Linked DNA regions of Drosophila melanogaster. The protein of the gene in region 1 binds, or shares a complex with, the protein of each later gene. Each region holds a gene or a part of one and is shown in the gene's direction. Other genes may lie near its edges.

Region 1 (3,753 bases):
ATCCTGTTCTACAAGATGTGCGGCCACTCCAATGAGTCTAATTCGGTTACGGCCAGCTGCAGTTCGAGTATGGTATCGGGCTCAAATGACCAGGTGGTCTCGGTGCCACTGTCGCCGCCTCTGAAGCTGGAGGAGTTGCCACGCCGACTTCGCGACTACGTAAGAAAGGACAACCATGTTTACAACGAAGAGTTGAAGATGCAACGCTTTAAGCGTGGCAACAGCGGTCACGGCAATGCGTTTGTCAGCCGGCACAACTTTGATGGCGATGGTGACGAGGACGACAAGGCGCCGCCGCCGCCCGGAGGATGTGGAGGCAATGGACTGGGCATGAACATCAACCGCTTCGTCTTCTGAGAAAGCGACAGCCAGGATAGCGAGCACACCGGAGGCCACTAGAACATATACTTGTCTACTTTATGAAACACGCGCATACTAATCGAAATGTTACATACATATATATATAGCACGTTCACAACCAATCGAGATATATGCGCCTACGTATATCGAAGTGTATGAGAAACGCGCTTACCGATCGCTTGTTCGCTACCTCCTTGAGTTGTTGTCGATGTTTTCTAAATTGTTTCTTCCTTTTCTCCTTGATCCTTCGGCCCGTTGCCCCAAAAATCATTATACTCATCCACTCATACGAACGCAAACTATTATTGTATTTCCATTTACAAAATTGTTATAATTTTTTTGTTTTTGTTAACACAAACCTAGTTGTAGAACGTGCATATATGCGAACACAAACATATTTAATTATAAAAATTAAAAAAAAAAAAAAACAATAGAATTAGCCAGAAATAGGAGCGATATACTTGAATCCGAAGACCACTAACTTCCAAAACACTAAACCAGAAATAATGTCTGCACCCTAGTTTTTAACGCACAGCTCGAAATTAAATCATATCTCGAGTTGCAATCGAACTAGCAAGAAGCTACAAAACAAGATAATCGCGGCATTGACTTGTATAGATCGAGATCGTTTATAGATCGGGCTATAACCCTCGGATCGTATTATTAGTTTCACTGTTAATTTTAGCAAATTTCAAAAAATTTGCGCATGTGCGACACGAATTTGTAATTGATATATATAAATGTATCTCTTTGGATCTGGTGAGCAGAGGTTGCGATGAATTTTGAACGTTATTGCAATTAAATTGGAATAATTTCAAGGAAATTTGTATATGGTGTATGTCTATTGATAACCAAAATCTATACTATGCTATGCTATAAGTGTATCAATAAAGAAAAGAACAAGCCCAAAGAGTGTTTAATTATTAGAGTCACGAAAGAGTTTAATGTGAAAACAACAAAAATAGTATCCATTCATGGAAGTTACTATATCAAAAAGAAAAGCAATGATCAGAAAGGAGGATATTATATTCAGTTCAAACATTAGAGAGGAGGCGTAAACTAGAATTAAAAACTTGACAGGATTATTGAAGTGGCGAATTGATTTTCTTGCCGCCAAATTTCAAATTATAGCGTACTAATAATCAAAAGTCGGGCCTAAGACTATCGATAATTTAGACCGCGCGGCAGTGTTACCAAATTAATAAGGGAAATTCAAGTGTTGTTGTCAGCAAGGGTGAGAGCCCATTTACAATCTGGTAACACTGCTAGAAAGCGCCAAAATTTTACGTTTATTAGGATTAAGACTAATTTTATTACAATAAAATAGAATTGTACAAATTCCGGCCCCTAGGAAAGGCAACCCAAACTGTGCGGCAAAGTAACGTCCTTGAGAATACCGCATCATGTCGTTCTTCGGATCCAACACGTCGCTGGGAGCAACAAGCACGCCGGCCAAAAGTGAGTTTCCGTAAACAAGACCTCATGCCCTTTTCTCCAAATATTTGTGGGGTCCATTTCCACTTGGTGGAGGCTTCAGCAGCTTCTTGGCGTCCTGCAGGCTGTGGATGCGGATGTCTTTGGGATCTATGCTGGATGTGGGACGGGCTACATGGTGTCAGTGTTCTTATGTGGCCAGACAAAGATGCTCACCCCTTCTTGTGGACCACATAGGCGACGTATCCCACAAAACCTAGCAGGAGGATCAGCAATATAAAAACCAGAGCCATTTTCCACGACCAGCAGGCGACCAGAGCTTGAAGCAAACTAAGGGCAGCTTCTGTAGTATTTTGGAACCCGAAATCTCAGATAAGAATCCAAGGCAGAAGCATAGTTTTCAAAACACTGACCCATTTCTGGTCTTCTTATCTCTTTTGTTCAGCAACCGGTGGCCTCTTCGGATCGCCGTTTGGAGGCACAGCTGCAACCAGCCAGCCAGCACCCGCTTTCGGAGCACAGGCCACATCGACTCCGGCTTTTGGCGCCCAACCGGCGACTTCTGCCTTCGGAGCAGGTTCCGCCTTTGGAGCAACCGCTGCAGCCCCGGCTTTTGGAGCCGCCACAGGAACTTCTGCCTTTGGCGGCTCCGCCTTTGGCAGTACTCCGGCATTTGGTGCGGCGACAACCACAACTGCGGGCACGGGTTTGGGAGGAGGCGGTTTCGGCGGATTTGGAGCAGCTCCGGCAACAAGTCAGGCCGGTCTGTTCGGCGCTCCAGCGACTAGTGCAGCACCACCAGCTTTTAGCGGATTCGGCCAACAGGCAGCTGCGAGTACAGCGCCAGCAAGTGGATTTTCAGGCTTTGGCACAACCACAACGTCGGCACCTGCTTTTGGTGGCTTTGGCACCAGCCAGTCCACTGGCTTTGGGGGCGGAGCCTTCGGATCCAGTAAGTTAAATAAGCCCATTTGTCTTTCTGTGGTATTCCTAACCTGGTTTATGTTTCAGCGTTCGGAAAACCAGCGAATACAACAGTTACGCCGGGATTTGGTGGATTCGGAGGCACCAGTTTTATGCTTGGACAGCCGCAACAGCAGCCAGCGCCCATATCGGCTGACGAGGCGTTTGCCCAATCCATTCTGAATGTATCCATTTTCGGGGATGAACGGGACAAAATAGTGGCCAAATGGAACTACTTGCAGGCTACGTGGGGCACTGGGAAAATGTTTTACTCCCAGAGTGCGGCACCGGTAGACATTACGCCGGAGAACGTGATGTGCCGGTTCAAGGCCATAGGCTACAGTCGTATGCCGGGCAAGGATAACAAGTTGGGACTGGTGGCTCTTAACTTCTGCAGAGAACTCTCAGCTGTCAAGTAAGTCTTAGTGCTTGTCTACATCATGGCATAGGTATTAATTCATTTTATTTTAGGCCACACCAGCAACAAGTGATTCAAACGCTTCACAGTTTATTCGGCAGCAAGCCCAACATGCTTGTTCACATAGATTCCATCAAGGAGTTGGAGAACAAAAAGTGCCAAATTGTTATTTATGTCGAGGAGAAACTTCAACATGCTCCCAACGAAAGCAAGCGTATACTTGCCACCGAACTCTCAAACTACCTTAATCAGGCGACGCTGAAACCACAGCTCAATAATCTAGGTGTTGTGGAGGCTTTGGCTCTGGTATTACCCGACGAAGATCAATTGAGGGAGTACCTTGAAAATCCACCCCGCGGCGTGGATCCGCGCATGTGGCGTCAGGCCAATTCCGACAATCCAGATCCAACTTTATATATACCAGTGCCCATGGTGGGCTTTAACGACTTAAAGTGGCGCGTTAAGTGTCAGGAACAAGAAACGGACACGCATGCATTGTACATAAAGAAGGTGGAGAGTGAGCTGACAGAACTCAAGAAGCGCCATGCCACTGCCACAGCGAAGATACTTGAACATAA
Region 2 (3,753 bases), on another chromosome or scaffold:
CATTTCGTACTTTTCGTGTTAACAATAACTATTATCGTCTTCGATCTGCGATAATAAGTATGTATTTTTGACTGCTGCAATGCACTTTTTATTTTGCACACACATATATGCACTTGATTAAATTGGGCGATCGTTTCTTTAACTTATTTTTTTCTCGAATTTTTCGGATTTTTTCCTATTACTATTTTGTATGCAGCTACTTTTTTTTAACGCTATGCTCGTCTGCCTGCAGCAGCTTTTTGTTGTTCTTGTTGCTGTTGTTGTTACGACCGCATCATCATCATCGTCGTCGCTTTCCAGCTATCGCCATCCTTGTTGCTCCTTTCGCGTGCACAGTGCGCTTGTTGTTGCTGTATTGTTGGTTGTTAGGCAGCTGCAACAAAAGTTGGTCTAGGGCGGCATGGGTGCGAGCGAGATGGCTGCGTGCCTGGAAAAAGGATCGGGATCGCTTTCCAGTATGTACTTGTAGTCGCTCTCGCGCGCTCTCCCTCTCTGTCGCTCTCTGGAAACTGGAACTCTCTTTTGCTATTTACTTAGCATATTTCACCGTAAGGCATCGTTGTTATTGTTTGTTTTGTTGTGTTTGTGTGATTCATACACGCGCGCATTAAAAAAAACGAGTTACAACAACGGCAACCATAATAACAAGAACAACAAACAGCGGGCCAAGATCATTTATTTACTTCTTTTTTTAACGTTCTTCGCTCTCGCTCGCAAACTTGGCATTTGTTTTGGTCAAATTATTATATATTATGCGCTGTAGATTGCATGGTTTTAAATTTACGGTTCGATCATCGTTTTTATATCTTTTCTGTTACTCTCTTTTAACGTTGCTTTTGTCGTGTTTTTCGTTTTCGGTTATCTCCTTTTTCGCCCGTTGGCGTCGCTTCTTTCTTGTTGTTTATCACTTTCAACTATTCATATTTCGATTGCAAGTGGAATAGTATCGTTGACCGCCACTCTTATTAACGAACTATTTGAACTCAAAAAAATGCAAAAAAAATCCACGAGCAGCGCGTTGATTACTGCGCTTCGAGTTCGAATTCGCCCTGGCGAGCAACAACAAATGACCAAAATTCTGGGGATGGCAGGCTCATCGATACTATCGGAACAGCAGCTTGGCTTCTTCGCGGTATTTGGTTATACTTTACTGGGCGGTCACACTACTGCTCGTTATCTCCCGCTTATTTTAAAATCAGGGATTGGGCTAAATGCCATCTAATTCTGCAATAAGTTTTATTGAATTTGCATTGCTTTATATAAGTCAGCCTATTAAATAGAGATATTGATTAAGAGGTAATTAATCGTCTTAAAATATTAAAGTGTAAAGATGAAAATATTTCTTATGTAAGCTATGTATAAATATAAAATACTAGGAACAACCAATTTCGATAGGATTAATTGTATAGTCCTAAGAACGACAGATAGTGTTATCAAGATCGAGGAGTTTGAATCGAGAGCTTAAAAGAGAATAAAAAGAACTTAAAAAGATTGCTACACCTATATATATATTCATATATATATAAGATAATATAAGAAGATGTTCGATTTCATTCAACAGTTTAAGGAACGCCCCAAGCATTTCCTAATTTCCTAAGAATATATGTTTACCAACTCCTGTTAACATTTTATTTATTAGGCAAATACATTCATCTCGAATGTAAAACATTAAAATTTTCAATTAAACCTGAACGATATTGTGTGGGTGGGATAGCCATTGCGGTATTTTTTTCGCGCCATTTTCAGATTTGCGTTATCGATTACCGGCAATCGCTTGACGGCAATATTGTAACAACAAAGCACACATTCGCTCTCATTCAGCTAAAAAAGAAACTAAAAACCTTAAACTATATTCGATCGATGGCAGAACCCCGTCCCGGCGGCTACAACTACAAGACATTATTGTGAGTAAAAGTTCGTTCATCAAAGGCAGAGCGATGTCAACTATAGTTCCATACGAATCCCCAGATGCAGAAACATTCCGGAGCTATTTTTGGACAAATATGTGGCGCGTTCGCACTTTGGACGTTTTGGAACCCTCGTAAACTTCGTCCTGCGTCCGCGGCGAATGACCTGCACCGTAAGCTATGCCAGCGAGGACGAGGCGGCGCGGGCGCTTCTCGATGGCGCCAGCTTTCAGGGTCACCTGTTTGATATATCCTATGCTGATAACGAGACGGCGCCGGCACAGAAAACGGAGGAGTGGGTGGATCCTGACATTCAGGCGGAGTTGAGTGCACTGCAGTCGGGCTGGCGCAATGAGTATGGGTCGGGCAAGCCGATAAAAAAACCACAAAATGGCAGCAGTGGTAGCGGTGGCAGTTCAATGCTGCCTGCCATACCAGTTGGGCCCGCAACGGCGCCGGTGAGCAGAGATCGTACGCCTGCCCAGCTCAGGGATCTTGAGAACATGATGCGCAGACCCGCCCATACAAGCGAGGAGAAGTTCAGCGTGCTGGATGCCCGCGATAAGCTGCTCCGGTTGAACCGAACGCAACACAAGCTGTCCGGTGCCACCCAGGGTCACTGCGCCGATATGTGTCCGGAAAAGGAGCGCGTGCTGAGAGAATTCCAGCGCCAGGTAGCCTACTATGAACTACAACCGGGCTCCGATGAGCTAATCTGTCACGAAAGAGCCCTGAAGCAGTACTCGCGCAGCAGTGCCGACCAGGAGACGCCACTGCCGCATGAACTGCGCAATGAGACTGCCCTGCACATGACCATGAGCTATCTAATGCATGAGATCATGGACATTAGCGAGCGCCAGGATCCGCAAAGCCATATGGGCGATTGGTTCCACTTCGTTTGGGATCGCACGAGGTCCATCCGAAAGGAGATCACCCAGCAGGAGCTATGCTCTCTGGGCGCTGTGAAGCTGGTGGAGCAGTGCGCCCGGTTTCACATTCATTGCGCCGCCCGTCTGGTTGACGCCGATCCCAGCGTCTTTGACAGCAAGATCAACGCCGAGAATCTAACCAAATGCCTGCAGACTCTGAAGTACATGTACCATGACCTGCGGATTAAGGGCGTTCCATGTCCCAAAGAGGCGGAATTCCGGGGCTACATTGTGTTGCTCAATCTGGCCGATGCCAACTTTCTCTGGGACATCGGTCAGCTGCCCGCGGAACTGCAGAGTTGTCCCGAAGTGCGTCAAGCCATTCAGTTCTACTTGGCCCTGCAGGACACGAATTTTGTGCGGTTCTTTCAGCTGCTGGCTGACAAGGATACCAGCTACCTGAGTGCCTGCATCCTAGTCAATTACTTTACGCGACTGCGCGTGCTGGGGTTGCATCGTCTGATCCAGGCGTATAGGTCTCCGCGGAAGGATGAGGTGTCTTCGCTGCCTCTCAGCTACATCGCCGAGCTGCTGAGCTTTGCCAGCGAACAGGAGGCGGCGGATTTTGTCCAACACTATGGCCTGCAGATCAACGAGGCGGGCAGAGTTGTGCTAAGCAGAATGCACACGGTGGAGACGGAGTACAAGCTGCCGCGACAGTATGAGGTAAGTAAATGGTTTTCTTTTTTTTGTTTTATTAATTTGATTTTTATTATCCACTTCCAGTTGGTGGAAGTGAAACGCGTGAAGAGCGTGGGCGAAGTCGTCAGTGGGGAACCTTTACCACCACGAGACCTCTACCTCAATCACCGACCGCACAATAGCTTCGACGATTATGGAATGCTTAAGAGCATTGCATGGACGGCCAAGGATCAGCTGGCTGGCATGCAGCAAGAGGAGATGCAGCCACAAATGCC
Region 3 (3,753 bases), 580 kb from region 1:
TAGCCCAGGACAAGTCAGCGCAGGAGAGTGACGACGAGGTAAAGGATATTATTGGCGAGACCACTTTCATCAAGCCCATGAAGAAGGTGCGCAGTTCCGGATTGCTGCACTCCGTCGAAGATCTGAGCACGGACTCCACTTGGGTCTATCGCAAGCACTCCGGCACGGACTCCAATCGCGGAAGTCGTCGTCGGCGCAATGTCTTTGCCAACGACGAGGTGATATCCAAGATACAAGCCCACTTGGAGAAGCCTCTTTCGCCGCCGAGTGTGGTCAGTCGCGGACTCAGCAAGAGCATGGAGATACCCACTCCGGTTAGCAACCTCAGTGATCTCAAGCAGCAGCCGGTGGAGCAGGCGGAGCTCGGCATTCTAGACTCCCAGCTGGTGGAGTCCATTATCGATGGCGACGGCCACCTTGCCGCCGATGAGGATGACGATGACGACGAAGAGCGGGGACCACGCACTTGCTGCGAGCGCATCGAGATGTACCTGGACATCAGTCTGCTGCAGGACCCGAGCTTTATCCTGATGTGCCTATCCGTCACCTTGATGTCCGTCGGCTGTCCCTACATGTTGTACTATCTGCCCGCCCACGTTATTTCAATAGGTATACTATTTAAAATGTTCAAAGTATATTCTTTCGGCGTACGATTTTAAATATTATAAACTTGGTTCATCTTTAGGATACAATAAAAGTGAGGCGGGATACCTGGTGGCCATCAGCGCGGTCCTAGATTTAATTGGGCGCCTTGGACTTGGCTGGCTGTGCGACCTGCAGCTATTCGATCGCAAGAAGACCTACACCTTGTGGTGAGTACCAGATAAGGTTTATTTTTCGATCCAAACTAATCACATTTCCCTATATCGACAGCATTTTGGGCGCCGGATGTGCCGTGCTCACAATTCCCTTCGCCAAGACTCTGGTTTTGGTGGGTCTATCGGCCGCTGTCTACGGACTTTGCCTGGGTAGCTGGTATGTACTTATGCCGGTCCTCCTTGCGGACGTCTTTGGCACGGACAGGATCAGCTCGAGCTACGGGCTGGTGAGGATGTTCCAGAGCATCGGGGCCATATCGGTGCCTCCGCTGGCAGGACTGATGCGAGACCTTTCCGGAGACTACGAGATATGCTTCTACTGCATGGGATCCTGCATGGTGCTCGGGACCACTCCGCTGATTGTGTGGTCCATCCTGGAGGCCCGCAACCATCGGTTGTTTGTTCAGCGCGAGGAGGAGGAGTGCGAGGAGGCCTAGAAATGATTCGGATTCGTTGGTTGCCCCATATGTTAATAGTGTTTTAGTAGCGATCAAATACTAGTTGAGTTCCTGAGTTTCAGAGTTCGAATGCCTCACCGATATTGCTGATTCTACCAGTTACTATTACTACTATCCGTACGTTCTCATCCGTATCTTTGTATCTTAATCAATCCCCATGCCCACCCGCACCCAATCGCTTGTTATCCTTCCGTTGAGCAACAGCAAAAGGATGTGTAAGATGATGATATTCAAACGAAGAAACCAAACAACCTAAACAACCAACAACTGAGCACCAAATGTTGCGCAAAAAGAACTGAGTTTAAAAGACATGAACTACAAATACCCGTATATAACTTTATAATATGATAACTACGATCAATGCCCGACTAGATGGTTATATAGGCCGACTATAGTTGTAGGTTCGCACATCCATATCGGAAAGGACTAAACTTTGTGCAGGAAAAATTAAGTGGCTTTAGACAGAAGGGAGGCTTGAATGGAGAACATCACATTACATTACCCTAGAATTAAAATAGTTGTTGTGAGACATTTACCCATAAAGACAATTACCAAATAAACACGAAATCAAAAGGTTAATCGCGTTTTATGGAATTAAAGGGAATGATTTCGCTTGGTTTGGGTTTTGCATTCGTTTATGTTATTAAATAAAGTCCTTTCTTTTTTTATTCGTAATAAAAACGGATTTTTCAACCACGTTTAAAAAATTTTTTTTATGAATGAATTTATCTCTTTTTAAAGAAAAACATTTTGTTTTATTAGGCTGTGAATAGGCTGTTATAACGCTGTTGAAACAGTGAGAATAATATACTCGAATCGATAGTACCGAAAAATATCGATATTGTTCCATCTCCACTGCATTGACGTTCATTTTTTCGCGTCCCTAAAGCGACTTTGTGCACAATTCGCAAAAAATTAAGACTAAAGTAAAGTAAAAAGTAAGAAAGTAAACTTCGCACCGCTCCATATAAATTTAACCGCTGCTTGACAAGGATCAACTGCGAACATGGATCTCAGTGGTCCACAAACTCTGAACAACATACTTCAGCCCGACGAGTTGAAACTCGTGCCGGAAGACGTCCAGAAGAAATTGTCGGAGTACATCAACAATTTCTCAGATGAGTACTGCAAGAACCGTGCGGCCGCCAATCGGTTGGGTAAGTTTTTATATTTGTATATATACTAAAATGCGCCATATTTTGCAAATAACCCTTTATTTGCATGCGTATGCTTTTACCTCCAACTTTGCGGCGTTTACCGGCTCAGATACCGCTTCTTGTAATAAGCAATCCGCGACTGTATGGTTTCTAGCGTGGTAAACACTCTTGCGCCATTTACATATTTTTTGTATAGAAATTTAAATATAAAATTCCGGGTTGTTGCAATTAAAAACAATGGCTGCTTGCAGCAACATTATTTTCCTTATTAATTTTCACCTCACCGGTGTGGTAACACTGGCCGGACATTTTCCCACCAAAACAGTTGATTAGTCCGAGTTTGAAATCTTCAGGGAATTTCTGTGTATTCATTTTAATCCAAATACTTTGTGGTTACTTAAATCCAGTTAAGAAGATTATTTATTTTTGCCCTTTTCACAGCCGAAGCCGAGCAAAAAAAGGAAGAGCTGGAGAACAAAATGGAGGACTATCTAGTAAAATTTACCAGCTTTGAGTTAAATGTAAACGAGCTGCGCACTCATCTAGATCAGATGTCTTCGGAACGAGTTAACCTAATGGACACGATCGCCAAAGGCGAGCAAACTATATCACAGTTGCGCAAGGAAAAGGCGTCGGTAGTTGAAGAACGCGATTCGATGATGAAGGTAATCGAGCGCCAACAAGCGGAGCTGGAACGATTGAAGCAGGATCTGCACACCTACCAGCAGCAGCTGAGCAGCGCGATTGCTGCCAAGTGCGAAGCCATTGCTCGCGTGGACGAAATTCAAAGTAAGGAAGTGGCTCTGGAGCTCAAAGAGAACCGCATGGAAAGCGAACGCGATATGCTGCACAAGGAGATTTTGTTAATCAGCGGAGATCTGAACAAAAGCAACGCCGAGTTACAGAACATCCGACGGGAGCACACAATAAACACCATGCAGCTACAGTCTTGCCTTAAAGAAAAGACCGAATCGCTAAAGCTGATGCAGGAACAGTACGAACAGGCCGTCAAGACCATCGGGGAACTAACCAGCAAGATTGAAATGCAAAACGACACCGCCTTCAAGCAGAACCAGGCCACGGAAGAGTATGTGGGGAAGCTGAAAAAGGAACTTGATGCCAAAGAGAAGCTTTTTGAAATCTTTAAGAGCACCGAATCCGATCATCTGATCCAACGGGAGGAACTCCTACAGGGCATCTCCGAAATTAAACGTTTGTTAGAGGAGGCCGAAGAGCAGTGCGCCCAGTTGACGGAGCAAATGGAAACCATGAAGCAAAAGCACAGCGCTGAGTTGGACGAGCAAAATAAGAAGATTCAGG

What was found.
Region 2: Nup54 (region 1) and xmas share a complex: the UniProt entries of both Drosophila melanogaster proteins name them as parts of the nuclear pore complex.
Region 3: Nup54 (region 1) and Mgtor share a complex: the UniProt entries of both Drosophila melanogaster proteins name them as parts of the nuclear pore complex.

The regions. Positions count from the first base shown.
Region 1 is NT_033778.4:12,428,947-12,432,699, reverse strand, and holds the start of Nup54 (nucleoporin 54kD), read left to right. Parts: upstream 1-1,600; 5' UTR 1,601-1,763; coding exon 1,764-1,818; exon of another isoform or gene 1,819-1,840; coding exon of another isoform or gene 1,841-1,949; intron 1,950-2,010; coding exon of another isoform or gene 2,011-2,087; exon of another isoform or gene 2,088-2,105; intron 2,106-2,239; coding exon 2,240-2,746; intron 2,747-2,805; coding exon 2,806-3,172; intron 3,173-3,228; coding exon 3,229-3,753. Other genes in the region: DUBAI (deubiquitinating apoptotic inhibitor), read left to right, coding at 1-357; CG43204 (uncharacterized protein), read right to left, coding at 1,841-1,949, 2,011-2,087. UniProt on the Drosophila melanogaster protein: Component of the nuclear pore complex (NPC), a complex required for the trafficking across the nuclear envelope. Essential for the nuclear import of nuclear localization signal (NLS)-containing proteins in an importin alpha/importin beta-dependent manner.
Region 2 is NC_004354.4:17,157,322-17,161,074, reverse strand, and holds the start of xmas (xmas), read left to right. Parts: upstream 1-1,768; 5' UTR 1,769-1,860; coding exon 1,861-1,904; intron 1,905-1,968; coding exon 1,969-3,502; intron 3,503-3,562; coding exon 3,563-3,753. UniProt on the Drosophila melanogaster protein: Involved in mRNA export and mRNA coupled transcription activation.
Region 3 is NT_033778.4:11,850,474-11,854,226, forward strand, and holds the start of Mgtor (megator), read left to right. Parts: upstream 1-2,143; 5' UTR 2,144-2,282; coding exon 2,283-2,433; intron 2,434-2,874; coding exon 2,875-3,753. Other genes in the region: Sln (silnoon), read left to right, coding at 4-609, 686-812, 874-1,255. UniProt on the Drosophila melanogaster protein: Component of the nuclear pore complex (NPC), a complex required for the trafficking across the nuclear envelope. Functions as a scaffolding element in the nuclear phase of the NPC.